4 linked regions of the Elephas maximus indicus genome follow. The protein of the gene in region 3 interacts with the protein of the main gene of each other region in a biochemical or structural test. Links are inferred from orthologs where the notes say so. Each region holds a gene or a part of one and is shown on either strand. Other genes may lie near its edges.

What was found.
Region 1: the proteins of MAP3K7 (region 3) and USP29 form a complex in vitro, tested with the Homo sapiens proteins (2 studies listed by BioGRID). The link is inferred for Elephas maximus indicus from reciprocal best matches to the Homo sapiens genes MAP3K7 and USP29.
Region 2: of the proteins of MAP3K7 (region 3) and IKBKB, one has a biochemical effect on the other in vitro, tested with the Homo sapiens proteins (5 studies listed by BioGRID). The link is inferred for Elephas maximus indicus from reciprocal best matches to the Homo sapiens genes MAP3K7 and IKBKB.
Region 4: of the proteins of MAP3K7 (region 3) and USP4, one has a biochemical effect on the other in vitro, tested with the Homo sapiens proteins (2 studies listed by BioGRID). The link is inferred for Elephas maximus indicus from reciprocal best matches to the Homo sapiens genes MAP3K7 and USP4.

The regions. Positions count from the first base shown.
Region 1 is NC_064829.1:89,425,456-89,432,899, forward strand, and holds USP29 (ubiquitin carboxyl-terminal hydrolase 29), read right to left. Parts: upstream 3,266-7,444; coding exon 467-3,265; downstream 1-466.
Region 2 is NC_064840.1:58,150,384-58,157,826, forward strand, and holds the start of IKBKB (inhibitor of nuclear factor kappa-B kinase subunit beta), read right to left. Parts: upstream 3,262-7,443; 5' UTR 3,104-3,261; intron 2,448-3,103; 5' UTR 2,430-2,447; coding exon 2,325-2,429; intron 1-2,324.
Region 3 is NC_064819.1:154,409,773-154,418,109, forward strand, and holds the start of MAP3K7 (mitogen-activated protein kinase kinase kinase 7), read right to left. Parts: upstream 3,236-8,337; 5' UTR 3,019-3,235; coding exon 2,899-3,018; exon of another isoform or gene 2,617-2,898; intron 1-2,616. UniProt on the Homo sapiens protein: Serine/threonine kinase which acts as an essential component of the MAP kinase signal transduction pathway. Plays an important role in the cascades of cellular responses evoked by changes in the environment.
Region 4 is NC_064838.1:53,785,667-53,793,892, reverse strand, and holds the start of USP4 (ubiquitin carboxyl-terminal hydrolase 4), read left to right. Parts: upstream 1-4,972; 5' UTR 4,973-5,035; coding exon 5,036-5,136; intron 5,137-5,164; exon of another isoform or gene 5,165-6,259; intron 6,260-7,121; coding exon 7,122-7,249; intron 7,250-8,226.

The sequences.
Region 1 (7,444 bases), on a different chromosome or scaffold from region 3:
CATTTGTACCATCCATGTACAGTAACAAAATATACCAAGATACTGTACATGCTACAGCAGGGGTTCTCAAACTTTCTGAAGCATCAGAATGTTCATCAGATTGCTCTGTCTTGTCCAGTTTGTTTCAGTAGGTCTGAAGTGAAACTCAAGAATTTGCATTTCTAATGGGTTCCCCACTAATGCTACTGCTGCTTGTTCAGAAACAACATTTCAAAAGCACTGCATTAGAGCATGAAAATCATCATTCTAGTCTTGTAGGAGAGAAGGACATTTGCCAGCCCGAGCTGTGGGACTGAGGTGCCTGCAGCAGGGTTAGAACAAATGTTTCCCCAAACAAAATGTGTCTGTTTGAGCTTTCATCCTGAGCTACTTGTTTCTCCATCTCTGGGGAGAGTTCAGCAATTTCCTTTCACGGAGCAAGTGGTCGTGAGTGAGGTCCTCAAAAAAGTCTATGCAAAGAGAAATCTTATTCTTGTTCCCCATGAAGGAACATCGCCAGTGACTCTGTGCTCTGTGACTGGGAAGTCTCTGCCTTTCTAAGTAGCTCCTCAAAGATGTCAGTGTGCATGTAGAAGAAGATGTACCCGTTGCAACTCCTGTCATTCTGCATATTGGCCTCTTGGATCTGCAAGGCCTTGAGATCATCGTACATGAACCAGGCCTGCTTTGCAAAGTCGTAGACATCGCTAACATAGTGACCTGAGTTTGGGGAGTCCCCAAGATGGCTGACGACACTGATGAGCCTGTAGGCATGATGAGGATCCCATATTGTGGTATTTCTTTTCTGTTCCTCAGCCTCAGCTTCTGTGTTCTCCATACCTAAGACGCCTTTGTTTCCAGGGTTCTCACCAGAACCCAATGCTCTGAGGGAATTCAGGCTATCCTTCAGCAGGCTTAACTCTGTAGATCTACTGAGGTCCTCCTCTGTGTGTTCCTGGGCGTCAGGCTTCCTGAGGTTTTGTGGCAGTGCCTGTTGAAGGACTTTCTCATAGATTCTTTTCCCATCACACTGCTGGAGCTGCTTAACCACTCCTTGAGATTCTTCTGGACTCCTGTTTTCTTTATTCTCATAAAAATCTTCCGTAGACTGAGTGATGCTGTTAGACTCTATCTTTACAGATGCATTTGTTGTCTGGTGTGTCTTAGGTTCTGGGCTTTCAGGCACCTCTTGATGATGAGCCTGTACAAGACCTGCAACTGGGCTGCTGGTGAATTTACCACCAAGTTCACAGATCACTGAAAGAGAGGTGTCTTCCCAATAAATCATTGAGTCAGCTGCTGGCCATTCCTTCTCACTGGCTGTCCTATCTCTTGAGTTGACCAATTCGGACTCTGTTATATTTAGTTTGGAGTCATTTTCTGGGTCTCTCTGCTGCTGTTCTTGGCTTGATCCTTCAGAAAGTCTCTGGCATTTTTGTGGTTCAGTGTCCTTGTCTGGTTCAATGTGTGGAACCAGGAAATCCTTGGATGTGGAGGTCGACGTCATTGGAGACATCCATGAGCTAGTGGTCCCAGAAATCATTTCTTGAGAGACTTTAAGAACTTGAGAGTCCTCAATATGTGCATTACTGCTAAAGGGAAGAGGTGGTTTGGTGTTTTCATCGCAATGGGGGGATAAGCTTAAATATATAGGAATACCAACTTGCTGATTATCCTTCACCAAAACCCGACAATCATTAAAGATATAGCGCTTCAGATGAACAATAAGGACCCTGGGTAGCCTAGTGAATTTGTGCATTGCAACAGAACACTTGTGCTTGCACTTCTCACACTTATACTCAATTTCTTCTGCTTTAAAAAAAAGATCAAAAGAATATTGAATGGATGAAGGGAGTGATTGCTTTGCTTCAGAAAGGTTGATGGAGAGATAATTGCTTAGTTCTGTCTTGCAAACAACCTCACCACAGGCTTTACAGATGATGGAGCACTGTAACTCAAAGGCAAAATTCGTGACCACTGGACAAACAAACACTTTAGTGGAAGCATTAGCCGCAGAAATCTGTGGGTGGGAAATTTCTTCACCAGTTTCCCTCTCTGTCATATAAGCATTTAGTTTTTCCATGTCTTCTTTCATCTGATCTAAACACTGGCTTAAAAACTCATGAGCATCATTCTGCATGTTGTCAGAGAATATGGCTGCAACTGAGGAAATGGAGTTTTTAATATTCACAAGTAACTCTCCCTTGATCTCTATGTCACAAAGATCTTTCAAAACAAGCAGTTGACTGAAGCACATGATAAGAGCATCTAAGGGAATTTTCTCCCAGGGGATTCCTTGGTTAAGTAAGTCATCAGCAAATGAGGGAATTGCAAATAGCGACTGTAAAATTGCATTCATATAACAGGTATTTCCCAAATTGGGGAAGCCCTGCCGTTTTTGCTGTAGGTGAGAGTTAGAGGGCATCTGAGATTCTTTCTGTCCTGGTTCATTCTGGCTACAATTTGGTTCTGAGGGAAATGCCAAGCTTCTTTCAACAGAGAGATGGTGGGTTGAAAAACTATTCCCATCTAGGTTAGGGTTTCCAGTAGAGCTGGCATTGAATAAAGGTCCAAGTTCTGATTTATTACACTTTTCTAGATTTTCTAAACTCAGTGGTTCCTTCCTATTGTTGCTGATGCACTTCAAGGGATCTGTCTTGGATTTCTTGTTTAGCACAGGGTTATTTTCTTTCAGAAAGTCCTCATGCATTTTTACATCAGATGATGGCATTCTTTTCCTCTTGCCACATGGATTTTCTAATAACCCTGTCCTGACAAGTGTTGATGATTTGGACATTAACAAAGGCGTTTCTTGAAGGACAGATGTTCCACTTCCATTTTCTAGACTAAAGGATTCAATACTTGGCTTGTCACCAACTTTATGAAAGGGGATTTTGTTGCTTTTCTCCTGTGTTTTCCCACCACCAAGAATAACCCATTCACAGCGAGGTTTCATGGGTAGTTGAGATGTCTTTTGGTGGACTCTGTCCAGAAACTTCTTCAACTTCTCAGCATCTCCACAGGATAATTTGTCAATGAACAAGGAGCAATTTTTTGGGAAAGTTAAATGCAGGCTACTTTGTTCTTCTCTGGAGTGCCTAAGGACCATACTTGTAGTATTATTACTTAGCTGGAAAACTCTTGTACTTCTTCCAGAGTTGAAAATGACCACCAGTCTACTTTCTTTCTCTCCTTCCACCATTTGAATTAATGCTTCTTTCAGGTTGGTCATCCCAGTCCCTTTGCTCCAAGTTCGGGCAAAACCACGTATCATTGGAGGAGCCATCCTTTATTCATAAATAAAACACACGTAACCTAAAGAAAACATACACACATATACACATAAGCTTTAGCCCAAAATGTTTTTTACTGATGTTTTATGGAAAAACTCCATGTAATAATAGTTTAAGGAGCCTTGGTGGTACAACGGTTAAGCCTTTGTGTAGTTTTATAGGAACCCTCCTTGTTCATTCAATTATTTCAAAATCTTGTCCCAATGTCCCTTAACCATTTTATATGCCAACATTTCCTTCTTTAAGCTCATGCTGTCTTTGGTTAAAAAAAAAAAAAAAAAAAAAACCAAAACAGAAAAACCCACTGATGTTGAGTAGATTCGAATTCATGGTGATTCCATGTGTGTCAGAATAGAACCACCCCATACGGTTTCCTTGGCTGTAATCTTTATGAGAGCAGATCTTCAAGTCTTTATTCTGTACTACTGGGTGGATTCAAACCATCAACCTTTAGGTTAGCAGCTGAACACAAACCATTTGCAGCATCTAGGAATCTGTCTTTGGTCCAGGTGCCACTAATTATCTGGCACACTAGCTTAGCTAGCGCTTTCTGAATCCATGTCTTTATCTATCCTTCTGACAGTGGTGTCTTAGGCTGGGTCTCTAGAGAAGCAAAACCAGTGAAGTATATATATATATATATATATATATATATATATATATATATATATATACTCACACACGCACATATATGTATAAGTCGTATGTATGTAGAGAGAGACAAGAGGAGGGGAAATGGCTCAAGAAGGTGTTGGTTCAAGAGGGTGTAGAGGCTGGAAAGTCTCAAATCTATGGGCCAGGCTGGAGGCTTCTCCTGTCTCACATAGCTGCAGGGGCTGGTGAACTTAAGATCAGAAGGTCAGACAACAGGCTTCTGGCTCACAGATGGGGGAAGCCGAAGAATCCTGAGAGTGGCAGGTAAGCTGCTAGCTCAAGTCCCAAGAACCAAGGTCAGATGAACAGGGGTCAGCTGCAGGATCCAGAGTGAGCCCACAAGCTTTGCCAGAAAGTCCACCTATATTGGATGTAGGCCACACCCTCAAGGAAACTCTCTTTCAACTGACTGGCTGCTCATAACAGATCTCATCATGGAGGTGATTACATTATATCAGATCTCATTATGGAGGTGATTACATGATTACATAGCTGCCCAACCACATCATAACTGCCAAACCACTGAGAATTATGGCCCAGCCAAGTTGACACACAGCCTTAACCATCACAAGTGGTAAAATATTTAATCAGCCAGTGCATAGCATCCTACTGGAATTTCCCTTTCCTCAATCATCCCTACCCTGCAACTGGAGATGAGTCAGCATTTCCCTTAGTGTTTGGAATTGCATGGCTGAATGGTTGGTACAAGAAGGAAAACTGGAATACAATGAGGAAGGATGGATGGGGAGGGGTAAAGGCTGGGCATGGAACCAACCATGTCAATACAGAGAGTAAGAAACTTCTCCAGGAAAATAAACTTAGGTTTGCTGGAAGGTGAGGGCATGAAGCCATGATCATTTCTGAGTCAAGGAATAGTATGAGCAAAGACATGGATTTTGAGAACTCCCAGTGAGCTGACGTGCCAAATAATTAGTAAAATTAAGATCGGGTTGAAAGATGGAGAATGAAACAAATATTAAGAACCTCATTGCCATGGAGTCCATTCCAACTCATAACAACCCTCTAGAACAGAGTAGAACTGTTCTGTAGGATTTCCAAGGCTGTAAATCTTTAAGGAAGCAGACTGTCACATCTTTCTCCCACTTAGCTACTGGTGGGTTTGAACCACTGACCTTTTGGGTAGCAGCCAAATGCTTAACCACTATGCCACCAGGTCTTGAAACGTGAAGCGGGAGACACAAATATCAATACAGAGAGAGGTTTCAGAAATAATAATTTTGGGGCATCTATACAAAACCAACAACCAACACCATGCTTAATGGGGAGAGGCTGAAAACATTTCCCCTAGATCAGGAACAAAACAAAACAAAACCAAAAACCAAACCCATTGCCATTGAGCCAATTCCAACTCATAGTGACCCTATAGAACAGAGTAGAGCTGCCCCATAGAGTTTTCAAGGAGTGGCTGGTGGATTCAAACTGCCCTACCTTTCGGTTAGCAGCTAAGCTCTTAACCACTGCACCACCACGGCTCCATGCAACAAGACAAGGTTGCCCTTTACCACCATTCCTATTCAACATTGTGCTGGAAGTCGAAGTCCTAGCTAAAACAATAAGGCAAGAAAAACAAATAAACAGCATCCAAATTGGTAAGGAAGAAGTAAAAGTACTCCTATCTGTGGATGATATGGTACTATACAATAAAACTACTGGAACTAATAAAAAGATTTAGCAGAGTAGCAGGATACATGATAAACATACAAAAATCAGTTGGATTCCTATACACAAAGAGAACTACGAAAAGGAAATCAGGAAAGCAATACCATTTATAACAGCCCCTAAAAAAATAAAATACTTAGGAATAGATCTAACCAGGGATATAAAAGGCCTATACAAACAAAACAACAAAACACTACTGCAGGAGGCAGGGTCAAGATGGCGGACTAGGTAGACGCTACCTCAGATCCCTCTTGCAACAAAGACTCGGAAAAACAAGTGAATCGATCACATACATAACAATCTACGAACCCTGAACAACAAACACAGATTTAGAGACAGAAAACGAACAAATACGGGGAAGCAGCGACTGTTTTCGGAGCCTGGAGCCAGCGTCCCAGTCAGCAGATTTTCTGGAAAAACAAGTTTCCCAGTGATGGCTCAGAGACAGCAATCGATATCAAACCACATAAAGAAGCACACCATGACAGCTTCTACAACCCCCCAAACAAAAGAATCAAAATCTTTCCCAAATGAAGATACAATCCTGGAATTATCAGATACAGAATATAAAAAACCAATTTACAGAATGCTTCAAGACATCAGAAAAGAAATAAGGCAAACTGCAGAAAAAGCCAAGGAACACACTGATAAAACTGTTGAAGAACTCAAAAAGATTATTCAAGAACATAGTGGAAAAATTAATAAGTTGCAAGAATCCATAGAGAGACAGCATGTAGAAATCCAAAAGATTAACAATAAAATTACAGAATTAGACAACGCAATAGGAAGTCAGAGGAGCAGACTCGAGCAATTAGAATGCAGAGTGGGAAATCTGGAGGACCAGGGAATTAACACCAACATAGCTGAAAAAAAATCAGATAAAAGAATTAAAAAAAATGAAGAAACCCTAAGAATCATGTGGAACTCTATCAAGAAGGATAACTTGCGTGTAATTAGAGTCCCAGAACAGGGAGGGAGGACAGAAAACACAGAGAAAATAGTTGAAGATCTGCTGACGGAAAACTTCCCTGACATCATGAAAGACGAAAGGATATCTATCCAAGATGCTCATCGAACCCCATTTAAGATTGATCCAAAAAGAAAAACTCCAAGACATATTATCATTAAACTTGCCAAAACCAAAGATAAAGAGAAAATTTTAAAAGCAGCCAGGGAGAAAAGAAAGGTCTCCTTCAAGGGAGAATCAATAAGAATAAGTTCAGACTACTCAGCAGAAACCATGCAGGCAAGAAGGGAATGGGACGACATATACAGAACACTGAAGGAGAAAAACTGCCAGCCAAGGATCATATATCCAGCAAAACTCTCTCTGAAATATGAAGGCGAAATTAAGATATTTACAGATAAACACAAGTTTAGAGAATTTGCAAAAACCAAACGAAAGCTACAAGAAATACTAAAGGATATTGTTTGGTCAGAGAAACAATAATATCAGATACCAGCACAACACAAGGTCACAAAACAGAACATCCTGATATCAACTCAAATAGGGAAATCACAAAAACAAATTAAGATTAATTAAAAAAAAAATGCCCATAACAGGGAATCATTGAAGTCAATATGTAAAAGATCACAATAATCAAAAAGAGGGACTAAATACAGGTGGCATAGAACTGCCATATGGAGAGTGATACAAGGCGATACAGAACAATACAAGTTAGGTTTTTACTTAGAAAAATAGGGGTAAATGTTAAGGTAACCACAAAGAGGTATAACAACTCCATAACTCAAGATAAAAACCAAGAAAAACGTAACGACTCAACAAACATAAAGTCAAACACTACGAAAATGAGGATCTCACAATTTACTAAGAAAAA
Region 2 (7,443 bases), on a different chromosome or scaffold from region 3:
ACCACAGCTGTGAGTTTACATTTATAATTAGTTGAACAATATCTCTTCCTTTTCCAAAAAGATCTGTTTAGAGCCCCGATGCTATTCATAGCACTCAATAAATAGTTGTAGGCTAAGGGGATGCTTCTGAGCACCTATAACATGTATAATGGGATAAAAGGTGTTATGGGTCAACTGAAAGCAGTCCAAAGCCAGACACAGCCCTGGCTGACCAGGAACTTAGGAACCTGACAAGACACACTGCTACACACAGACAAAATGGCAGCATATGAGGTATGCCAACTGAGTGAAGCTGAAGGAATTCAACAGAAAAACGAATTCCCATGGAATGAAGCAGCCTGTGATGGGTTTACGGAGGAGGTGGCCTAGAGCTGGTGCCGGAGGGACGGACGGGCAGAATTTATGTCAAGGCGTTGAGAAGGATGCTTGTCCCAGAGAAAGGACTCAGCCAACCAACCTGTCAGGAGCCAAGAGGGAGGAGAGGCTAGAAAGACAGGGTGGGACCTGACTGTGGAGGAGCCTCAAACGACAGGATGAAGAGTTCGGCTTTGTAAAAATAAAAAACAAATTAAGGTTTTTGAGCAGGGGATGGGAGTAATTCTAGAAAACTGTGCCAAAGTGGTTAAGCGCTACAACTGCTAACCAAAAGGTCAGCAGTTCAAATCCACCAGGTGCTCCTTGGAAACTCTATGGGGCGGTTCTACTCTGTCCTTTAGGGTTGCTATGAGTCAGAAGGGACTCAGCGGCAATGTGTTTTGTTTTTGTTTTTTTTTTTTGGTTTTTAATCCATACACAGGGGTCTGGTGGCACAGTGGTTGAGAGCTCAGCTAGTAACCAAAAGGTCGGCAGTTCGAACCCATCAGCTGCTCCTTGGAAGCCCTATGGGGCAGTGCTACTCTGTCTTTTAGGGTTGCTATGAGTCGGAATCAACTCGATGGCCAACGGGTTTGGTTTTTTTTGGTTTAATCCATACATACGGGAACACGTTCTTAGGCCCATATTGATAAAGCTGGAAACAAATTCTACCTTGCAATATCCTGACTTTCCAAGTCTAGAGAGCATACAGAAGTCATTCTGAGCTAGAGATGACAGAATTCGAGAATTCTGTGGGGCTGCAGAATGATCAAAGCCCTGGTGGAGCAGTGGTTAAGAGCTTACCTGCTAACCAAAGATCTGCAGTTCAAAGCTACCTGCAGCTCCTTGGAAACCCTACTGGGCAGTTCTACTCTGTCCTGTAGAGTCACTATGAGTTGGCATTGACTCTACGGCCATGGGTCTTTTTTTTCTGCTTTGGTAGAGTGATCAGGTTCTTCTGTTTTTTACTGCTAGGCCCCTGGCTATACTCTGACCAGGACAAATTTGAGCCAGTTGTATTTCTCAGGCATCCTCAGCCATAGGGTTTGTTGGAACCCTAGTTCCCACATTGGGAGAGAGAATATTACCACCTGCAAAACTGTACTCTGCCCTCCAGCTCCAGCTCTGACATCCCTCCAGGGGTTGCTCTGCCCATTCAGAGCTGATGGGATTCAGGCAGGGCCTGGAATGTCTATCAACTAAGTGATAAAGAAGGGTGGCCGTCTGAAGTAAACGCCTGACATGGCTGGCCAGCAGCCTCAACGCCCCACTCTGCTCGCTGCAGCCAGGTTCCTGGGAAGAGATGAGCAATTTCCCATCCCTTAAGTCCAGAAATGGAGCCCTGGTGGTGCAGTGGTCAAGAGCTACGGCTGCTAACCAAAACGTCAGCAGTTCGAATCCACCAGCTGCTCCTTGGAAACCCTATGGGGTAGTTCTACTCTGTCCTATAAGGTCACCATATGTTGGAATTGACTCAACAACAATAGGTTTCGTTTTCTGGTATAAATAACTTAAAATACATATAATTGAGGCTGAGAGCTTAAACTTTTTTATTATTTATTAAGGCCAATAAAATTTGGAAACTACTAACCTAGAGTTGGTGCCCTGATGGTGCACTGGTTAAGAGCTTGGCCGCTAGCCAAAAGGTTGGCAGTTGGAATCCACCAGCTGCTCCTTGGAAAACCCATGGGACAGTTCTGTTCTGTCCCACGGGGTCGCTATGAGTCAGAACTGACTCAATGGCAACAGGTTTGAACCTAGAGTCAGCTTAGCAGTCCTGATGCCTCCTTCCTATCCCCCTTCTCACTCTCTCCCAAGAAGCTCAGGGCAAAAAGTGTAACCCACTCACCTACCCCGAACAACGTGGGGCAGAAATCTGCAAGTGCCCTGAGACAGTAAAGGTGAACCCGACACCCGCTCTTCCAGCCCTCTGCCCACCCCTGCCTCTTCCAGGCTGCACAGAGCCCTACCTGATTGTGCCATCGGATGACGTTTCCAAATGCCCCTGTCCCAAGTCGTTCCTTCATTTCCCAGGGCCCACATGTCTGAGTTGCCAGGGAAGGTGACCAGCTCATATTGATGTTGCGCTAACTCTGTAAGTAATTCGGGGTGAAGGACAAAAAAAGTTAAGAAAAAACGGGGCAAGTTCCTGCTCAGGGAGATGGAGAAGGCAGGGCATAAGTTTTGCCCTTCAATACGACAGGAAAAAAAAAAAAAAAAAACTGAACTGGTTTTTATCTTGTAAATAAACCAGGTTTTTTTTGTTTGTTTGTAGTTTTAGGTAGTAAACTTCTGTCTTTCTCACCCGCCCTCCAGTTGTTGTGGAAGGAAGTAGAGAGGAAAGTCACTCAACTGAGGTGATGCCCCACACCCCATGACCTCTAGAGGGGATCCCCTTCCGTGCCCGCATTCTCCCGAAAGCAGCAGGGAGGGGATCTAGCTCTGCGCGCCACCACGGTCACGTGCGCCTCTACAAGGTCCCAGAGAATCACGGTTCTCTCTCAATGCCACCCACCTCTAAGCAACCACCTGGAACCCCTCTGGCCAAGGCTGTTCTCCCGGGCCTCCCAACTCCAACCCGCTAAAGGGAAACACTTCCATGTCGGCAAACACCTGATTTTTAAACTCGACGAAAGTTTCTACGGCAGCCTCTAGTGAGGAGATGGAGAGCCCGACCGGGGCAAGGAAGACGCGGGGTCCGCAGGTGGGCACCGCAAGGCTTCCGCTCCCTCCGGCCCGCGGGACTCACCTGTCGGCAGGGACGCCTGGCAGGGGAAAGGCTCCCCGGGCCGGGGAGATGGGGGCTGGGGCAGCACAACCGGGGGCTCTGACACCACCCCGAAGACATTAAAATGCGGGAATCCTAACCCAGCCAGCAGAGAGCGACTTCCTCAAACACTTCCTGCTCTGACGTCACCGCGGCACGTGGGCCTGCGACCGGCTCTTAAAGGGGCCGCCGCAGAGCAAGCCCGGGTCACTCCCAGTGCCCACCGGCGGCCGCGCGGAGCTTGGGTCCCCCCCGCGACCCCTGCCCGGGTGACTGCCCCGTCCCCCCAGAAAGAAAAATCCAATCCAGTAGTGTAGTGCTAAACTAAAGTTCCAGTCTCAGTGATGTGGGGAGTCTCAACTCTGAGGCTCATCTCCTACCTGCTTGGCATTATCATGAGGTCCTCTACTAGTGAGTTTCTCAGTCCTAATCTTAGTAGACAAAGAAGTTTTTTGTATGTTGGTGTATTTTACTCAAGAGAGAAAAGAGATTAAAGGACCCTGATAATAGTTTATAGAGTGCTTACTAAGTGCCAGGCACAGTCCTAAACTCTTAGATTTCCTCTTTTAATCCTCACCGCAACCCTATAAATTAGATAATAGCTGTGTTACTATTGTCACCATTTTACAGAGCAGGAAACTGATGCACAGAGAGGAAAAGTTTTTATCCCAAAGTCATAGGGCTAGTAAATAAATGATTTGAGATTCAAACCCAAGCAGCTGGTTCCTGGGCCCAAACCAGTTGCCTACGAGTGGATTCCGATCGTATAGGACAGAGTAGAAGTGCTCCATAGAGTTTCCAAGGAGTGGCTGGTGGATTCGGACTGCAGACCTTTTTGGTGAGCAGCCATAGCTCACTGTAGCTCTTAACCACTGAGCCACCAGGGCTCCTTCCTGGGCCCATGCTCTTAATATTTGGTTAAAAGTAGCGTGCTAAGAGGCTCAGAAGGAGGCAAACTAGATTTTGAATCCAGATACTGCTACCGACTACCTCTAAAACTTTAGTGCAAGTTACTTAATTGCTCTAAGCCTCAGTTTTCTCTTTAAAATGGAGGCAATATTAGGTTGAATTGCATGAGATTGCCTTTAAAAAAAAATGCACATTTAGAACTGTCGTTTTGTTGAAACATTAACAACGATCAAAGATCAGCAACCTCATTTAGTTCGGCTTAATAGCAGCAGGAGGACACAGAGTCACAGGAGGAGATGCCAGCAGGGTTGTGGAGAAGAACAGATGAACTCATGGTGAAAGCAGTGCCTGGCACAGAGGACATGCCTGTCACCTAAACAGAGCCAGCAGGTTGATCTTAACTCTTAGGAACAGGTGTCCACCCAAACAACCAACAACTACTTGAGCAAATAGTTGTAGAGCGCTTGTTATTGTTGTTAGTTGCCCTCCAGTCAGCTCCAACTCACGGTGACCTTATGTATAACACAACCAAATGTCACCATCTTCACGATCACTGGTATATTTGAGTTCATTGTTGCAGTTATTGTGCATTTTGAGTGCCTTCCAACTGTTACAAATGAAAGCTTCCACAATATTAAATTTGCGTACAAACTCACAAGCTTTATTTTTCAGTTCATGAAAATTGGGTCTGCAAGTCTGACAAGCGCTCTGAAGAGCAGGACAAAGCAAAAGGGTTATTTTGTCACAGACACACAGGAACAAGGAAGACACACTAGGCAAATTTTGAATTGGCTGGCAGGCATTTTCTTTCTTTATTTGGGATAAAGGGGCAATTTTGAACTAGATTAAACTCAGCAGGCAAGTCCTAATTGGCTAGCTTAGGTTTTAGTTTCAGATTTTGGCTCCTGGTAAGACAGGGAGCAAAGGCCCTGAGATCGGAGGGTGCCCGTTTGAGAAATAGCGAAGGGACTGGGGTGGTTAAAGGAGAAGCAAGTAAAAGAGAAATAGACTATACTATCAGGGAGGTAATGGGTTGAATGTGGAACCTAGAGACTTAGTAAGGCAGAGAATGGAGGGGCCCCCAAATGTGGAAACAAAGTAACAAGAAATGGGCCAGGGCACAGAAACAAAGCCATTCCCCAGAACAATGGGAGAGGGTATCAAAAAATAGCTTGCAAACTTCTTTAAAATTGCCTTTCAGAAGCAGCTGGGAAAACCAGGCCCAGGGACATGCGCAGAACATCCACCTGTGACTGCTGTGTGACCTTCCACCAGGGGCAGAGAGGGGCTACAGCCCCAGCCGGGGAATTGAACCCAGGGAGCGAGAGACTGAGCAGGCACGACACCCCACAAATCCCAGAGGGCTCTGAGACAGGAGCCGTCTTGGAAAGCTGCTGTGTGCGCACCTTCGTTAACATGTCCCCGCCTGTGTCTGTGAATAAACATGAATCTTTTCCCGCCCAAGAACTTTTAAAAACTCAGGCCCGTCTTTAAGAGGGTAGCGTTGCTCTAGGCCCTCCATATCACCGCTTGCAAACCTCTTCAATAAAGCTTTGCTCATGCGGAAAACTCTACGTGCCTTACCTGCTCGTTCTTGACCAGTAAGAGGCAAGAACCTTATTCCGGTAACACTGAGAAGGTCAAGCATTTACAGGAGTAGAAACTGGCTAGGTTTTGGTTTGCTAATGTGGGGCTAGCGTAAGTAACTCCATCTTGGGCCCACTACAGTAAGGTTAACGCTACGTAGGGGGTCATCTTCCAGTACTATGTTAACAATATTCCATTGTGATCATAGTGTTTTCATTGGCTAAATTTTGAAGTAGTTCACCAGGCCTTTCTTCCTAGTCTGTCTTAGTGTAGAAGCTCTGCTAAAACTGGTCCACCATGGGTGACCCTGCTGGTATTTGAAATACCAGGGGCGTTGCTTCCACCATCACAGCAACAAGTAGGCCACCACAATATGACAACCTGAGAGATGGGTGGTGGTGTAAAGCACCTTCTATAAAGCTCTTAAAAAAAAGAAAAAAAAAACCTGTTGTAATAAAGTCAATTCTGACTTATGGCAACCCCGTGTGTTTCATAGTAGAACTGTGCTCCGTAGCGTTTTCGGTGGCTATAATCTTATGCATGTAGATTCCCAGGACCTTCTTCCATGGTGCTGCTGGGTGGATTAGAACCACCAACCTTTTAGTTAATAGCCAAGCTCAAGCCATTTGTGCCACCCAGGTAAAGCCCTTAGTGCCTTGCATATTCCAAAAACAATATAGGTACTTGTATAATAAATAAATGAAATGTATGCGCTCAAAATATTTCATTTATTTATTATACAAGTACCTATATTGTATTTAGAATATGTGAGGCACTAAGAATATGCACGGCACTACCGGAAACCCTGGTGACATAGTAGTTAAGAGCTAAGCTGCTAACTAAAAGGCCAGCAGTTCGAATCCACCAGGTGCTGCCTGGAAACCCTAAGGGGCAGTTCTACCCTGTCCTATAGGGTTGCTATGAATTGGAATAGACTGGACAGCAATGGGTTTGGTTTTTTGGTTTGTATGTGCTGGGCCCTATGTAGAGTCTGTTTTTTCCCATATGATGCCATGAAAGGTTTCTCTTTAATTCTGTCACTACTGAAAAATCACTGTCCATGAGAAACTTAGGGAGGCATCGTTGATATGCCAAAGGTTTCCTCACTGTACAACTTTAAGAGTTCTCATTTTGTTCAGCTCAAAATAACTTAGTTTTCAACCGAACATAAATCTCTCTGATGAGGTCAGATGCAGTACTAGATTTTTAAAAAGAAAGGGTGATGGCTCAGGAAGGGGCCTCTGGGTTTTATCATGTCCCAAGATATTTATCATGTTAAACGCTCTTTTCCCTCCAGATAAGACATGTCCACGTCACTGCCTACATCTGCTAGCAATCCTGCTCTGGAGGATATGAGCGGACTGTTTCAAAAGATATTTTCAGCTGCAGCAGAAAAACATTCCTTTTTATTCCTGCTTTGAGGCTGTGTGCTATTGAGCAGTGACTATAGGGTAGGGTCCCTATGAGTTGGAATCCACTTGATGCCAACAGGTTTTGGTTTTTTGGTTTTTTAAAGGGCAGGGCCACCACACATCACAACTGGACCAATGAGCAACATCTTGATAAACAGAAAAAATATTGAAATTGCTAAGGGTTTCATTTTACTTGGATCTAAAATCAATGCCCATGGAAGCAGCAGTCAAGGAATCAAAAAATATATTACTTTGGGCAAATCTTCCTCAAAAGACCTCTTTAAGGTATTAAAAAGCAAAGATGTCACCTTGAGCACTAAGGTACGCCTGACCCAAACCGTGATATTTTTGATCACCTCATGTATATGCAAAGCTGAACAACGAATAAGGAACGCCAGAGAAGAATTGGTGCGT
Region 3 (8,337 bases):
TCCTCAAAGAACTTCTAAGCTTACTGTGGAAACAACACACAACACTGGAAACAATGATCGGATTTTCATTTTAGAACTGGAAGAGACCTTAAATGATCTTGTTCAATTTTTACATGAGAAATCAGAGGCCCAGGAAAACGAGGTGACTTGCTCAATGTTATAGAAATACTGTGTCAGAATCAGTACAGCACCTAAATTTTCTAAGTACCAAGTCCAAAATACTTTTCCCTACACCACACGGCCTTTACTTCTTGCAACCTGGTCCACAATGTACATCCCTCACAATTTATTCTAACATTTTCTACACCCAGATCCAGAATGATAAAAACTAAATCACTAAAAAAAGGTAGATTTCTAAGGCTGAGAATGTACATAATGTGACAACAGAACTGCATTTAAGAAATGCCGAACTGAAATTTCTGAGTCACAACATTAGGAATCTAAGGATTAAAATTAGCTGATGCCTTAGAAATATGCATCTACTAAATGGCTGCATACCTGGTCTATGGTTCGAGTTATTTTTTATGTACTTTCTAGTTCTGGTCATATAATGCTGATTCAATTACACTGTTATCTGAGAAATACAGGATATGATTTTCTTTAAATGGGAATAAAATACTTTTTGTTTCTGATCATCCTCTATTATAATGATTTTAATCTAGAAATGGAATCTAAATTCAGAAATAGTTATTGAGCACCTAAGGTGCACCCTGGATTATATCAAACACTTTTAATGTGTGCAAATGAAGAATATGATGGAACTTATGTAATGGCCTCAACATAAGAAAGGTCCTAATTCAATCTTTCATATGAAAACAAACTGGGTATTAAAAAATCAAAACTAAACGACCGCCTAATGTTAGAAAGAACTTTTTATCAAAAAGCAAAAGTCTACGCCCCAGGATATCCTAAATACACCAAAGGAAGGCTGAAGCACTATCTAAATTGAAGGAAAGGTTTTGGAAACATAAACACCTAATCAGAAGTGAAATGGCTTTGGGGGAAGAGCAGCAAAATGAAAAATGTCTCAGTAACTTCCTTTCTTCCATAAAGCAAGAAGACAAAAAGCTTTACAAAGTAATGTGCAAAAACTAAGTTTGCTGTCGAAATCAAATGAAAATAAGCCTCTGAAAGAATCTGGTAGACCATAAAGTACAAGTTATTATTACATAACAATTTGTAGTCTACAAGCATAGCCAATTTACCGCAGAGTAGACAGAGTAGACGTAAATGCTTATTTAAAAACTGCAATTCTTGTATACTGACTCACTGAATTTTTATTCTTAAAAAAGAATGTTAGCCATGAAAGCTGGATCAACTATCCACTTCTGGAAAAGGAATTTATCATAGCCTCAATCGGAAAAAAAAAAAAAAAAAGCACACACACAAAATTCTCCTCTCTTTTCAAAACACAGATCTTCTTTTAGCCCTGTGACCTTAAGGCAGGTCACTATTCCTCTCTGGAACTCAGTTTCCTAGTAATACGTGTCAGGCCTCGTGTTGGGTGTTTCACATACACTGCCTAATAAGACTGTTATACAGATAAAATTAAATAGAAATTATTATCCTTGTTTTACAGTTAAGAAAACTAAAGTTCAAAGGGGTTAGTTAGGAAATGTGCCCTAAACCACATAGCTAACGTGGCACATCTCACATACTGAACTTTCCTCTTAAGTCAAAAGATCCTGTTTTTCCCATTGTGCTACCTTGTAAAAAAAAAAAAAAATGAAGGTTGTTCTTAATGATCTCTAGGTTGTTTCAAGTAATAAAAATGTATGATTTAGTAATTCATTATTCTTCCAAAACATGAATAGGGAAAAGATATATTTATTTGGTGAACATTAATTATCTCACTAATTTTAGCTTGCTGTAACCTAAAAGTAATTTTAGATTTTTACAGTAGAGATAACGCTGAGATTTCATAACATGTCCACAGGACATGCTGAGTTCTTTATAGTATAAAAAAAAATAAAATAAAAATAAAATCACTACATTTTTAAAAGGATAAATAAATGGTAACTATTTGATACATCCCATTTTCAACCAGTTTTTAAAAACACATTCTAAAGTGTCTTTAAAATATATACACACACTTTTACTTTCCTAAATTTCACAGTCCTTATTACCAATCGCCCCTCTATGAATGTGAACAGAAGTAACGTACTAAAGGCACACTAAAATATCTCGCTCTAAAATATCTTAAATTATTGAAGAATACAGAATGGATTCAGGTCTTCTAACAGCAATTTCTAATCTGGTGATATATTCTAGCTGTCGCCGAGATCATGAGTTCTCTCTCCAGAACATGCTACTTAAAACATCTTTTCATTATAACAGACCAGCGTACATTACTAATGGCGAATTCATCTAAATTACCCAACTGAAGGCAGAACATTTAATATTACGAGTACTGCTCTATGATATCAGCGAAACAGAATCATTCGGTACCTGCGGAAACACTTTGACTTCATCTACTACTTTAATAAGCATTTATTGAGCGCCCACTATGTGCCAGGCACTGAGCTGTAAATCGAATATAGTATAATCCTTGGCCTTTAAAAACACAACATGTAGAGAATTGAAACGGCCACGGTCTTTGCTGAATTTACTACTTACAGAAATGAGAACTGGTGGACCACACTTTCTCACCAGCTCATCCTCCTATTTGAAGTGACCCAAATCCAGACACCGGAGTATCAAATCCAAACTCGAGTGTCGAAGTGAGGAAAAAAGAGAGCTACCTCAGAGCAGCTGAGCGCGAAGAGTCCCCCCACACCCAGTCTCCGAGGGGTTGTGGGGAATCTCGGCTCGACCCCGCCGGGGAGGCGCCTTCAGAGCCAGGATCCGGCAGAAGCGGGGGCGAGCCGGAGACGGCGCTCTGTGCCGGGCCTCGCTCACCTCTTCCACCTCGATCTCCTTGTAGTCGATCTCTTCAAAATTGAGGACCTGGGAGGGGGCTTCGATCATCTCACCGGCCGAAGACGAGGAGGAGGAGGAGGCGGCAGAGGCTGTAGACATGATCCCTCGCCGCGCCCGAGGGGCCCGGAGAGTCTGCCACCCAGACACTCCGGGGCAGACCCGCGCCCACCCGCCTCCGGACCGACCTTCAGTCTGGAGCCGCACAGCCCGGCCAGCCGGCGATCCGTGGCGGGGGCAGGAACAGCGGCCACAGCCGTGTCCCGGCTCCGGCTCCGCTGCGTTTTCCGCCGCCGGGCCCCGCCCACCTGACTTCCGGTTCCGGTCTAAAATCGGAAACAGGAGGGGGGCAGCAGGTTCGTGGGAGGGGAGGGGAGAATTTCGTGACGGGGAAAGAGAAAGGAAGGGCAGGCTGGGGTAGGGTGAAGGCGCAGGGGCGGGGGGCGGGCGGGTGAGAGCCTGTCTTGAACCTGTAAAACAAATTTCGCGAGATCTTTGCTAAAGAGGCTCAGGAGACGGATGTTACCGCGAGAGTTGATGCGCTGACATAATTAAAATGCGCGAGCGGAAGTGACACAAGCCTGATGGCCAATGAGTGCCGTTGGTCTTTTAGGAACCAGCGGGAAAGATAAAAACTATGGTTCCCACTGTTTGTGAGTTGCGTCATGGCTCCACTCCATCTTCTTTTAGCGGCCTGCAGACGGGCAGAGCAGTATAGGACCGAGTTTTTACGACAAAGCCCACTTTTCGTTTTAAACCGAAGCTAAACTAAACTGTATCTTTAAGAAGCCTCGCAAAACGTGTTTTCCTCAACGTGGAGGGAGCGGTTGGCTATTATTTAAACCAGTCCCTGATACCAAGAGAGAGTCTGAAGAAGTTAATAGTACAGAGCTGGTCAGCGTATTCAACATAAGTAACGCTCTGGAGGCTGAGTGCTCACGAAAAGAAGATGACATATTGGTATAACAAAGTTAACACATTTAGATAAGGTAGATATTTATAATTTGGCATAATTTGACATGTTCATCTCGCGTTTTAGATTGTATTAATAGCATTTATCGAGTGCAGAGCACTATGTTAGATTCATTATATTTATAATTTTATCGTTACAATGGCCATGACAAGTTAAATATTTTTTCATCATTTACAGGACATGAGAAAATAAATTCAGAGAGATTAAAAGAATTTCTGATCCAAAACCTATGCAATCTGTCTCTAAGGCAAATGGTATTGTCTACGTTGTGCTAAAACTCGAATAGCATTGTCTATGTTGGGTTAAAACCCATTGCTGTCCAATGGATTCCAACTCATAGTGACCTAATAGGACAGACTAGAACTGCCCCATAGGATTTCCAAGGCTATAAATCTTTATGGAAGCAGACTGCCATGCAGCTAGTGAGTTTGAACCACCACCATTTCAGCAGCCAGGTGCCTAACTACTGTGTCACCAGCGTACTTTACGTTGTGTTACCAAAAAATATTAAACTAAGCTGTTAAAACTTTATTACTTTGACTTGAAGCCTAAGTGTGGAATTTTGGAGTTAGAGACTTAAAAATGATAATTATATATGGTGGTTGGAGCAGTGGGTTTGGATGAACTTACCTAGGAACAGGTCTCTGGGTGGGATAAATCTGTGTTTGACTATTAACCAAAGGGTTGGTGCGTGGAACCCACGCAGCAGTGCCAGGGAAGAAAAGCCTAGTGATCTGCTTTCCTGTGATTAAAAAAATAAGCAACTGTTGCCATTGAGTCAATTCCAGCTCATGTGACCACATGCCCCTGGGTGGTACAAATGGTTTATGCTGAACTACTAAACGCAGGCAGTTCAAACTCACTCAGTAGTACCGCAGTAGAAAGGCCTGGTGGTATGGTTCTGTCAAGATTACAGCCAAGAAAACCTTATGGAACTGTTCTTCCCTGTAACGTGGGCGAGCCATGAGTCGGAATGAAGGCAACGGGCTTGGTTTTTCTTTTTTTCTTTCACCTAGGAGCACTGTGTTAAAAAAAAAAAACCAAGACGGAACCCTGTGAATGTCAAATTCTAAGCCTCAGAAACAGAAAAGGAATGGTTTGAAAAAGCAAAATGACTGGAGTGGTGACCTGGATGGCATAGGAGGAGAGCTGTTCAATTAAGGAGTAGTAAACCAAATAAATGCTGTAAGTAAAAAAAAAAAAAAAACCAAACCCATTGCCTTCAAGTCAATTCCAACTCATAGTGACCCTATAGGACAGAGAACAACCCCATAGAGTTCCCAAGGAGTGCCTGGTGGATTCGAACTGCTGCCCTTTTGATTAGCAGGCATAACTCTTAACCAAGGTGCCACCAGAGCCTTAGTTGTAAGCAAATAAGTAAGTTAAGCACATTTCTGATTATAAATAGGTGATTGGATTTAGCAATCAGGAAGCTATGAACTAGAAAGCATTCTGTCATTTCCAATTTGTAGTTCTAGTGACACTTAATGATAGTTTGGTGAATGGATAAAAGGATGAAAGAAGAAATAATTTCTTCTCAGTGTATATACTCTCTGGATGATCTTACCCAGGGTCTTGGTTTCTCATACCATTTTTGTAATGACTTTCATTACCTAGCTCAGATTTTTTTCTGAATTCTGAACCTGTTGGATATTTTTATTTAGGTGCAACAAACACCTTAATTTCAAGATGGCAAAGCTAATTCAGAATCCATCCGCCAATACAGATATGTTCTTCCGATGCATTTCCTGTCTCAGTTAAGGATCCCGTTACCCACTCAGTTGTCCAAGTGAGAAATCAGGATGTTATTTCTACATATGAAATGATGCTCCAAAACAACAACAACAAAACCAAACCTACCCCATTGCCATCCGGTCAATTCCAACTCATAGCAACTCTATAGAATAGAGTAGGACTGCCCCATAGAGTTTCCAAGGCTGTAACCTTTATAGGAGCAGATTGCTAGGTCTTTGTCCCGAGTAGCAACTGGTGGATTCAAATACCCCAAATACCCGACCTTTCAGTTAGCAGCTGAGCACTTACCCATTGCACACCAGGGCTGCTGAAATGATGCTCAGTATACTAATGATCAAATAGAAGCAGATAAATCGATGGAATAATCTGTCTTGAAAAAATTATGTTACAGGAGACAGGAGTGAAAGGAAACAGGCACATCCTTCACTTTTGTTGAGAAAAAGGCAAAGATTGTTTCTATTGTTTATAACAGGCAGAAAGTAGAATCAAGTCCTCAATCAACAGAGGATTATATGTAGACTAGTACTTCTCTTGACTGCTTTGAGTCAGTTTTTCATATATCAGCCAAAATCATGTTTTAAAGTCTCCAGCATGATCATATCACTCTCCTGCTTAAAACTCTGTGACATTTTGTGCCTGGAATTTACGGTGCAATGAATTACTTAATATGGCCCTTCTAGCCTTGGCCTTTGTGACTCACACACAATTATTGAATGGGACTATGCAAATAAGGTGTATGGAACCTGTGACGGTTAGGGTTATGTGTTGACTTGTCTGGGCCATGGTTCCTGGTATTGTGTGGTTGTCCTCCATTTTATGTGTTGTGGATCCTGACCTCTACATGTTAATAAGGCAGAGTTGGTGGAAGGTGTGTCTTGGGTCACAATCTTGTGACTCAAGTCCCACCCTTACTAAAGTTACACCCTTTCCTGGGGTGTGGACTGCATCTGAGACCTATGTGTGTGTCCTTGTGAGGCTCTCTTTCTCCCTGCATCTGGATCCCCTGTCTAGTTTGTGATCAGCTGACCTCCCCAGAAGCCTGCTGTATGACCTACCAATTCTGGGATTCGAAGGCCTCCCCAGCCACTTGGGCCAGCGGCCTATTGTACAACATGATTCACCACCTTTTGCAACCTTGTGAGCCAACAGCCTGTGGTCTGAACTGCCAATTTGGGTTCATCAGCTCCTGCAGCCACGTGGGTCAGGAGAAGCCTATGCCTGACCCACAATTTGGGACTTGCCAGCCTCCACAACTTCATGAGCCATTTCCTTTATATGGTTGGGGAGTTCTGTGAGGCATTGCAGTGAATTAGGGACCCCAAAGATGGGAGGGAGAGTACTGAGGGGAGAGGGAGTAGTTGATGTTAGAGATGATGGAGTGGTATAGCAGCTTGGAAAAGTTGGACATTTGGGACATCTTTAACCTCCACCTCATAGTTACCAGCTTTGTACTAATTGTTATAAAAGAAATTATTTGTTTAGAGTTGAAAAAATACTCAGCTCCTGCCTGCCTCTCCCTGGCATGTTAAGGTCCAGTCACACAGGCTTCTTTTCAGTTTCTAGAATAAGCCAAACTCTTTACCACCTCTGGACTTTTGCAACACTATTTCTTCTGCCTGGAATACTTTCCTATCCTGCTTTTGGAGTACCTGGATCCTTATCATTTTTCAGGCTTTACATTAAAATTCACCTCTTAGGCCTTCTCTGACTATTCCAGATACTTTGATTATTTTTGTTCATTTCCTTCATAGCATATATCACAATTTGTAATTTGTTTTCTTTACATATTTATTGTCTGAATCATTATTAACCTGTGTATACCTTCATAACCACTTAATAAATATTTATTGAATGAACAAATGCAATAAAAATCTATGCAGCTACTAAAATAATGCGTTAGCTCTATATGTACAGATATGGAAAGAAAAAATACTATTTTCAAATTAAATAAAATTTTAAAAACAGCATGTAGAGTAGGATCCTATTTCATTATACATATACAACTTATATATGCATGGTAGAAAGTCTGTTGTTGTTGTTGTTAGGTGCCATTGAGTCAGTTCCGATTCATAATGACCCTATATACAACAGAACGAAACACTGCCCGGTCCTGTACCATCCTCACAATTGTTATTATGCTCGAGCCCCACTCTGTCAGTCCGTCTCCTTGACGGTCTCCATCTTTTTTGCTGACCGTCTACTTTACCAAGCATGCTGTCCTTCTCCAGGGACTAATCCCTCCTGATAACATGTACAGAGTATGTGAGATGTAGTCTCACCATTCTTGCTTCTAAGGAGCATTCTGGTTGTACTTCTTGTAAGACAGATTGGTTCATTCTTTTGGCAGTCCATGGTATATTCAATATATAAATGAAACTATGAGTCAGAATCGACTTGATGGCAATGTTTTTTTTTTTTTTTTTTTTATCAATAGTGGTTACCTCTACAGTAGTTTCTTAGGAAGATGGATGGGGGCGTATGTGTAGGAACTTCTGTTCTTTATAGCTTTCACTATACAGTTCTTAACATTTGAAATTTTCATAACAAGATGTATCCAAATAAGTTAATCATGTAGCAGAAAACAGGCCTATTTGGGAATTTTGCAGGTTATCTCATTCATTTTATTGCCCTAAACTAGTGTAATCCATCATGTATTTCCACCTAAGGACAAAATGCAGGTTATACTAACTTCA
Region 4 (8,226 bases), on a different chromosome or scaffold from region 3:
CCCAGGCTCCTGATGTGGGTAGGTGAAGTCCTTGCTTAATGGGTAGGGCAGTGTCATATGTCACAACTCTGGCACTCCCCCTTATAGCAGGTACAGATGAAAATAGAGTTCAGGTATATACCCTGTTATACTGTGCTAATGAGGGCCTATACTGTTGAAATGGCCCCACACAGGTCTATGGCCACACATAGGCCCCACAGAGGTGTGAAAGGCATTCTAAGTCCATGGACTTCTTATGTCTTTGTCTAGGCAAAATGGCTGTGCCTTCGCTGAGTTCCCATTAAGCCAAATATTATCAGTGGAGGCTTGCAGAGCCACCACTATCTACAGTGGTTGTATACCTTGTCTAGAGTCATCTGTTTACCAGGTGTCTGCTGGCAATAAGCCTTCCCCTCTCTTGGAATTGGGGGAGGAGACTCTGGTGGCACGCTAGCCTGTGCTGGGGAGTCATCTTGATATGTCACTGGACCAGTACAGCCTGTAACTCTTGGGCCAATGGACTGATGGAATGCACACTGCACTATTGCATGTATGCATGCCATTTGCTCAGCGTAGCTGTCTGGATGATAGATGATGACAGCTTGGAAAACAGCCTGTTGACCCACCCATTTAAGGGCAAAGTTGTGTGAAGGGTTATAGCTCCAACCCCTATTAACAGTTCCACCTGGTGGAGAGCATTATAGGCCACCGACAACTTTTTCTCCCCGGGACTGTTATCAATTTTCTGCCCTTCCCCATAGTTGGAACCAAAAACCTAGGAGGACTGTAGTTTCATCCTGATCTTGTTATAACACCCAGTCAACGCTGTTCTCGGTGCTGCTTAAGTCAACTGGAAGGGTAATCCTTCATGTATCGCACCTAGTGCTTTCACTTGTGCAACAACACCTTGCCTTCTAGAAAGCTTGCTGGTTCATTACCCCAATCCCAAGGGGGACCCTTTTTTACCAGTTGATAGAGTGGTCTCAAGCACTGGTCCAAGTGGGTAATAAATACTCTCCAATACCCCAAAAGACCCACAAAGGCCTGCACTTCTTTTGGTGTCGTGGAAGGGGGGGAAAATTTATATAGTATCATCTATGGTTTCCCTAGGAATTTTACCAATGTTTCTGGCCCCTGCACCTTTTGGGGATTCACGGCCCATCCTCTCCCCTGTAGGAGAGTGATTAAGATGTCTAGACAGTCCTGTAACAGAGAAACGTCTTCAGCAGTTAACATAACATCATCAGTGTAATGAAACCAACAAATGGTAGCAGGAGAGGGGAAAAAAGCCAGATTCCAAGCAACCAAATCATGGTATATAGTGGGACTATGTAAATACCATTGGGGTAGCACTCAGAACGTCCATTGCTGTCCCCCTCAGATGAAGGAAAACTGGTCCTGAGCAGATGGGGCAAGAAGGATGATAAAGAACACATTGGCCAGGTCTCTACTAAAAGTTTCCAAATAGGAAGTTACATTTGGGACTGCAGCATGTGTAGGAGGGATCGCCTTGTTCTCCATAGTACACAGTCATACTCAATGACCCATCTGACTTCTTCACAGACCATACAGTGCTGTTAAAACCACAGCTGGGCTTTCTGGGGGATTACCTACCCTTTTCAATTCCAAAACGATTTCACTGATTTCCTTACATCCTCCAGGCACCTTATATTGCCTGATGTCTACCACTCTTTGTGGTGGAGACAGGACTACTGGTTCCCATGCTGCTTTTCCCCTCAAGACTGCTTCTACCACCTTCACCTGCAGTCAGAATTCTCCCACAGATGTGATCAAACTTAGTCCCATGAGGACATCCACTCCTAGAATGTATTCTGGTATTGTGGAAACACAAACTTCATACAATTTGGGGGTAGTACATTCTACTTGTAGGGTCAGGAGTACCTGATGTATGCAGATGGACTTTCCACCATACCCATTGTCTTTATTATCTAGTGCTGCTATAACAGAGATACCACAAGTGGATGGCTTTAACAAAGTGAAGTTTATTTTCTCACAGGCAAGTAGGCTAAAGTTCAAATTCAGGGTGTCAGCTCCAGACAAAAGCTTTCTCTCTGTGTCAGCCTTCTCATCAATCTTCCCCTGGACTAGAAGCTTCTCTGCGCAGGAACTCCAAGTCCAAAGGACACGCTCTGCGCCTGGCACTGCTTTCTTGGTGGTATGAGGTCCCCCTGTCTCTTTGCTGGCTTCTCTCTTTTATATCTCAAAAGATTGACTCAAGACACAATCCAGTCTTGTAGATTGAGTCCTGCCTCACTAACACAACTGCCATCCATCCTCCCTCATTAACATCATAGAAACAGGATTTACAATATATAGAAAATTACACAATACCAAGAATCGTGGCCCAGCCAAATTGATAGACATTTTTTAGGGGACATAATTCAATCCATGACACCTGTCAATTGCCAAGGGGGGTCCTTGAACCTGTTCAGGGTTTCCAAAGATAGGGGTGCATTCTGCCCCTGTATTAACCAGAGCTAGCACCCCACTGCTTGTTTTGTGACCTCTACATGGGGCCTCTGGTCCCCCTGCAGGCCCCTGACCTGCAGGTTACCTCAGCCCCACCCGTAGACCTTAGGGATTGGCAGGATCTACCTGGTGGCAAGGGGCACTTCTTCACAGGGGAAAGTGAAACCCAGAGGGCAGTATTATTGCTCTGGCTTCAGATTCTTCCAAAGATTGACCAAAACTGCATCTGGTTGTTTATCTGTCTTTTCTACTGTGGTCCTGGCAGCCACTAAGTCCATCCATATCTGCTTCTGGGTTACTTCCAAAGGGCCCTTGGACAATTGTCTTAGAGGCTTTTCAGCTTTTCTTTTTTCTCTTCCCATAAGGAAGCAGGCAGTGGGATCCAGAGGGTGGTATAGTTGCTCTGGTTTCAGAGTCTTTCAAAGGTTGACCAAAACTGCATTCAGTTATCTTTTCCACTGCGGCCCTGGCAGCCACTAAGTCCTCCCATATCTGCTTTCGGGTTACTCTCAAGGTGCTCTTGGACAGTCACCTTACAGGGCTTTCAGCCTTTCTTTTCGCTCTTCCCACAGTGTGCAGCCCCTTCTCTCTAGCCCTGTCAGTTTCACCTAAGTTGGCTATGGCTTCTCCCACCGTAGACTGCCTGGCCCACTAGGGACGAACTATAGCCACCAGTGTTCTGTACCAGGCAGGCAGGGCTGGCTGTTGGATCTTTCCTATCATTCCCACAGTAAACAGTTCATTGTCTGGTCCCCAGAAGGGTTCGGCATAAATGGCACATACCTAGCTCCCATATTAGTTGCTGTAATCGACTGTACTAGGAAGATCTCCCCCATTTGCCCATGCCTTTCTACAACACAAGATGATCCAATTACAGAAAGTGTGTATGCCCTCTGTGTTCTGAGCTGCATGTAAACACTGTCGGTGGGCGGGGTCAGTGGTAATATAACCTGTTTTTTCTGCCTCAGCTGCCTTAAGAAACACTGTCTCCCCTGATATCCCACAGATATAATAACCAAGCTGCAATGGTTTCCTTTCCTTTGTGCTGGAATTCCACATACAATTCAATCAACTCAGTGAGGGTGTATTCCTGCATTGTCACAGAATTGCTGGGTAGAATTTCTTGTCTAGGGTCATCCCGCTTGCAGGTAGTTTTTATCTTATGGGAGGGGAAAGCCATGCTCCTCCTCTAATATCACCACCACCTGAGTCACTACCAGGCTTGTCATCCCAAGAATTTCATGTTTTCACTTCCCAGTCACCTTTCATCAACATTGCCCTGATCTTCACATTTGGCACTTTCCTTCCCCCCTCCCCCATCTTTACAAACCTGCAGGCAAGCATTTCTAGTTGCTCATCCTGTTCGTGGACACAGCTGCTCAATATGTTAGTCATGGCCACGTGCGACTGCCGCATATCCCTTTCCAACTGTTACTCTTCCTGCAAAGCTCCTATGTGTTCTTCACCAGCTAGCTGGGTGTCAGTGGCCAGCCGAAAGGGCCAGACCAGCGGCCACCCTATGGCCCCTACTGTTTTCCTAGCTTCCGTTCCACACTTACGAAGGCGTACATCTTCCTGCAACCAGGCTATGCCGCTTAGCATTTTCAGGGCATCCCTACACTCACCGGGAGGTCCACACACATCAAGCATACAGCCAAACCGTTCCACATGGAGGTTGTTGGCCAACCTGGGATTTCCCCCCCAGAGGCCTCACTCCCACTTGCCATTTCTTCAGTCTCTTGGCTGGCTCGCTAACTGTCCTGGCAGAGACCAACAACTTAAAACTTGTCTTCAAAAACGGAGGGTGCTTGCTGAGAGCGGCAGGCAACTCCAGAGTGCCAACAAAGGAGTTTCTTAGGGAGACTTACATGCGAGGAACGTCCTGGGCAGCAGCATGACTAAGCAGATCTCCTCGCCCCGTGGTGGGGGACAGGGCTTTTCTAGCGGTGGCGAACAATAGTGGCTACATGCCAGGGACGCCTCTAGACTTACATAAGACCGCCTCGGCAAGAATTACAGAAGAATGACTTAGCAAACGTTAGTGAACTAGCAGAAAGCAGGAGTGCGGCCTCGCAAAGCCTGTTTCCCCTTCAACATAAAAGATGGCAACGTTGCGGGTCCCGTGCCACAGCAGAAGCGAAAGTGAGAAAATCTAGTCCTAGGGCTTCTCAAACTCAACTCCACATTTACTCAGGCCCAGGATAACCCCTCAGGTCAGAATGAAAAACGCACGGGGTCGTGAGGCCCGCCACCTGACGGACTGCGCGGAAACACAGAAAAGAGGGGCGGCGCAAAAAGCAAGCGGCAAGGCAGGCGGAAGCGGCAGCTCCTTCGGCTTCTACCCCTTTTCCGGCCTCCTCCCGGCTCCACAGCGTCTGTGAGACACGACGGCGCGGCGCGTGGGGGTGGGAAGAAAAGAAAGAGGCGGGCAGGCGCGCGAGGCGGTGCCGCGGGGCGGGGCTTGGGCGCGTGCACGTGTGTGCGTGCGTGCGTGCGTGGGCGCGGCTCGCCGCACGCTGTGCGCGAGGCGGATGTCCGGGCCGGCTGCGCCGGGGCCGCGGATGAGATGGCGGAAGGCGGAGGCTGCCGTGAGCGACCGGATGCGGAGACCCAGAAATCCGAGCTAGGTGCCTTGATGAGGACCACGCTCCAACGGGGGGCGCAGTGGTAAGCTGTGGGCCCGCCCTTCTACGGAGCACAGCTGGGCGCAGGAGCCCCGGCATTCAGGCCCGGCCCCTTTCAGCTTGGGGAGGAGCCGGACGGGGGCGGTGTCTGGTGATCTTGAGAGGGTGGCCTGACCCCCGCCCCTTGGGAGAGGAACCCTGAGATCGGTACTGGGAGAGCGCGGCGGGACTGGAGCTCATACCGGCCCCTTCAGAGCCCTAGGGGGCGGATCCGCGGGGGCAAGGGCTGCAGGATGGGGAGGAAGTGGAGTGCTCACAGGGATCATGAGGGTGGGAAGAGCCCTGTGTCATCGAGGACTCCCCTTGTGACCCTGGGCGAAGACATTCGCTCTTTGTAGACATTGGTTCCTTACTAGTAAAAGCAGGGTAGCAATACTTGGCCCACAGCCCTCACTCAGTTGAGGCAAGGATCAGAAGTAGATACTCGTAACTTGCAAACTGCAGAACAGATGTCAGGGTCAGAAGCTGAACAAATGTCTGTGAGCTCTAGATTATTTTGATAACAAATGTCAGAAATAATTGTGGTAGCAGCATATTGGAGTGGGAGAGGAGGGTGGCCTGGAGCCTAGAGCTAGATAGAAGATTAGAAGTACAGAATTTAGAAGAACAAAGAAAGCTGAGACACGAGGTTTCTTAATAGATTGTTTAGTAGAAAAGGCATTACCTTCCAATAGTGGAGAGATTACTGGGTGGTATTGTGTGGGAGTAGAAAACAGGTTAGGGTTTGCAAAGAATAAGAATGAACTTCTGCCTTTAAGAAACCATGGTGGTGATGATAATGTCATTTATAGTGATAGAGGAATTGAGTTCAGAATAGAAATATTGAGGTTAAGAGGAGTTCAGATACAGCTTTACAGTGTTTATCTTGAGCTAGCCAAGTTTTAAAAGGCAGAGCAAGCAGAGGTACTTTGGAAGTTATCCTGTTTAGGGGTGATACATGAAAAAGAATACTCGGTGGAAGGAGAGGGAGTTTACGATAGACTAAAATCACACAAAAAGTTTGTGGAGGGTATTGCTTAAGGGGTTTGGAGAGAAAAGAACATTTAGAAGTTTGGATATATTTGTGGATCCTGTGGCCTCTGGGAAGCTGCCTGATCTTCTCTAAGGTTTGTTGGTTACAAAATTTGAAGAACTTATGAATATTTGTGTTTTGTTGCCCCACAGAGGTTTCTCCCTCCTTCTGTCTTAATCATAAAAGTGATACTTTAAAATATAACCAGGTTTGCTTACTTTTCTTAAGTATAAAAAACAATAAGTTAAATATGAAACACAGTTTCAGAATTTTTGATAAGATGAACACAGTAGACACTAACTTTATGTAAATGTGTATATATATACATGTTTGTTTACATGTGTATATGTGTACTAATTACACATATAAGTATAAATTGTATATATATGCATATGCGTACTATTTTAATGGGTATTAGAGGAAATTATTTGTTATAGTCTAGTCAGATATCATCAAGGAAGGAAGAAAAGGAGGTGCTTTCACACATTTTTAATATCTTGTTTGGTCCACTAAGGAAATCTGAAGTAGGTGGAACTATTATCCCATTTTCAGAAATGAAATCAATTTAATGCTGTTCACATTAAGCAAAGCAGTGCAGCCACAAACTGTCTGCCTGGATGAGGACCTCTGTAGAAATCGTATGGAATTAATGACCGGTTGATCGCAAACAGGATTCTACCCATAGAAAGACTTAATTTAAATAAACATTTTGAAGCCAATCATTTCCTCCCTTCCATTCATTCATTCTTTTAAACAGTCATTTCACTTAAGGGATACGTGCCCTGGGCCATGCCCTCAGTGCTGTGTAGAGCCTGGCCCTGCTTCTGCTCTTGAGTCTGTTTTTTAATGGGGGTTGTAAGTGACCCAAAAGGAAAGACCAGAAAAGAACGAGGGGATAGGCACAGAAACTTGTAATGCCAGCTTTTCTGCCACAGTAAGTTTTTGTCTGTCTCTAGGTATCTTATTGACAGCCGTTGGTTCAAGCAATGGAAGAAGTATGTGGGCTTTGACAGCTGGGACATGTACAATGTGGGTGAACACAACCTGTTTCCCGGCCCGATAGATAACTCCGGACTCTTTTCAGGTGTAGTATCCTATTGCTTTTTTAGGTAAAATGTCTACTTGGGCAGTGGCCCGAAGGTGTGTTTATCTGTAACATGGACTTTCCCAGCATGAGGAGATAGAAATAAGTATCTTCGATTTGTGTGTATATCAGAAGCCTGCAGACCCTCCGAGAGAAGTTGAACTGCTTTATTTCCCTAAATTAACTGCTTTTAACAAGAGCATGCTTTTAGCATTTTAAATTTCTCTCTCTCTCTCTCTCTTTTTTTTGATAAATTAGCTCTGCTAGAGATTTCAGCTTTTAGATTGGTATACGGGATAGAAAGAAATAGGATATCATTTTGAAATTGGACCTGGAATCTGAAACTTGGAAACCAGAGTTTTCTGTGTCACCTTTGCAGTTGAACAAATTGTAGACGGTCGATGTTTGTCAGGTATTCTTGTGATAACAGTGTTTGTCATAAAAGTAGAATGAAGAGAGGTGGAAGGTCGGTAGACAGAGTTGTGACCACAGTCAGCTCCCAGTGGGGACTATGGAAAAAATGATGCATGACACACCTAAAATTGGCTTGCACCTGTAGATGCACAAAGATGAGAGAGTCAGCCTTCCCAGGCTTTGCTCTGCCTGACTTCAGACTTGCTCACAGGCAGGACAGAGGTTATCTGTTACCTGTGCCCAGAATCAGGGCAACAGGAAGGCAGACCATGTATGAAGCTTGATCCAAGTACCTAACAGTAGCCTGGATATTTTTAAAAATGAGCAACACTGCAGCTCACACTTTGTCTTAGGGTTGGTCTAAATGACGTAATAAATCACTGCCATTTGGTTTGTTTCCTGATGGAGGCCAGAGGGTGGCACTATACCATGACATTGCCTTAGCAGTTAGGAAGCATTGCATTGTGTTTACTTTTTGCCCTTCACCTTGTTTTTTAGAAAAGGAGAGATTTTAAGGTTTTAAAACTAATGATGAGAATTCTCGAGCTGAAGGGACCCTCAGA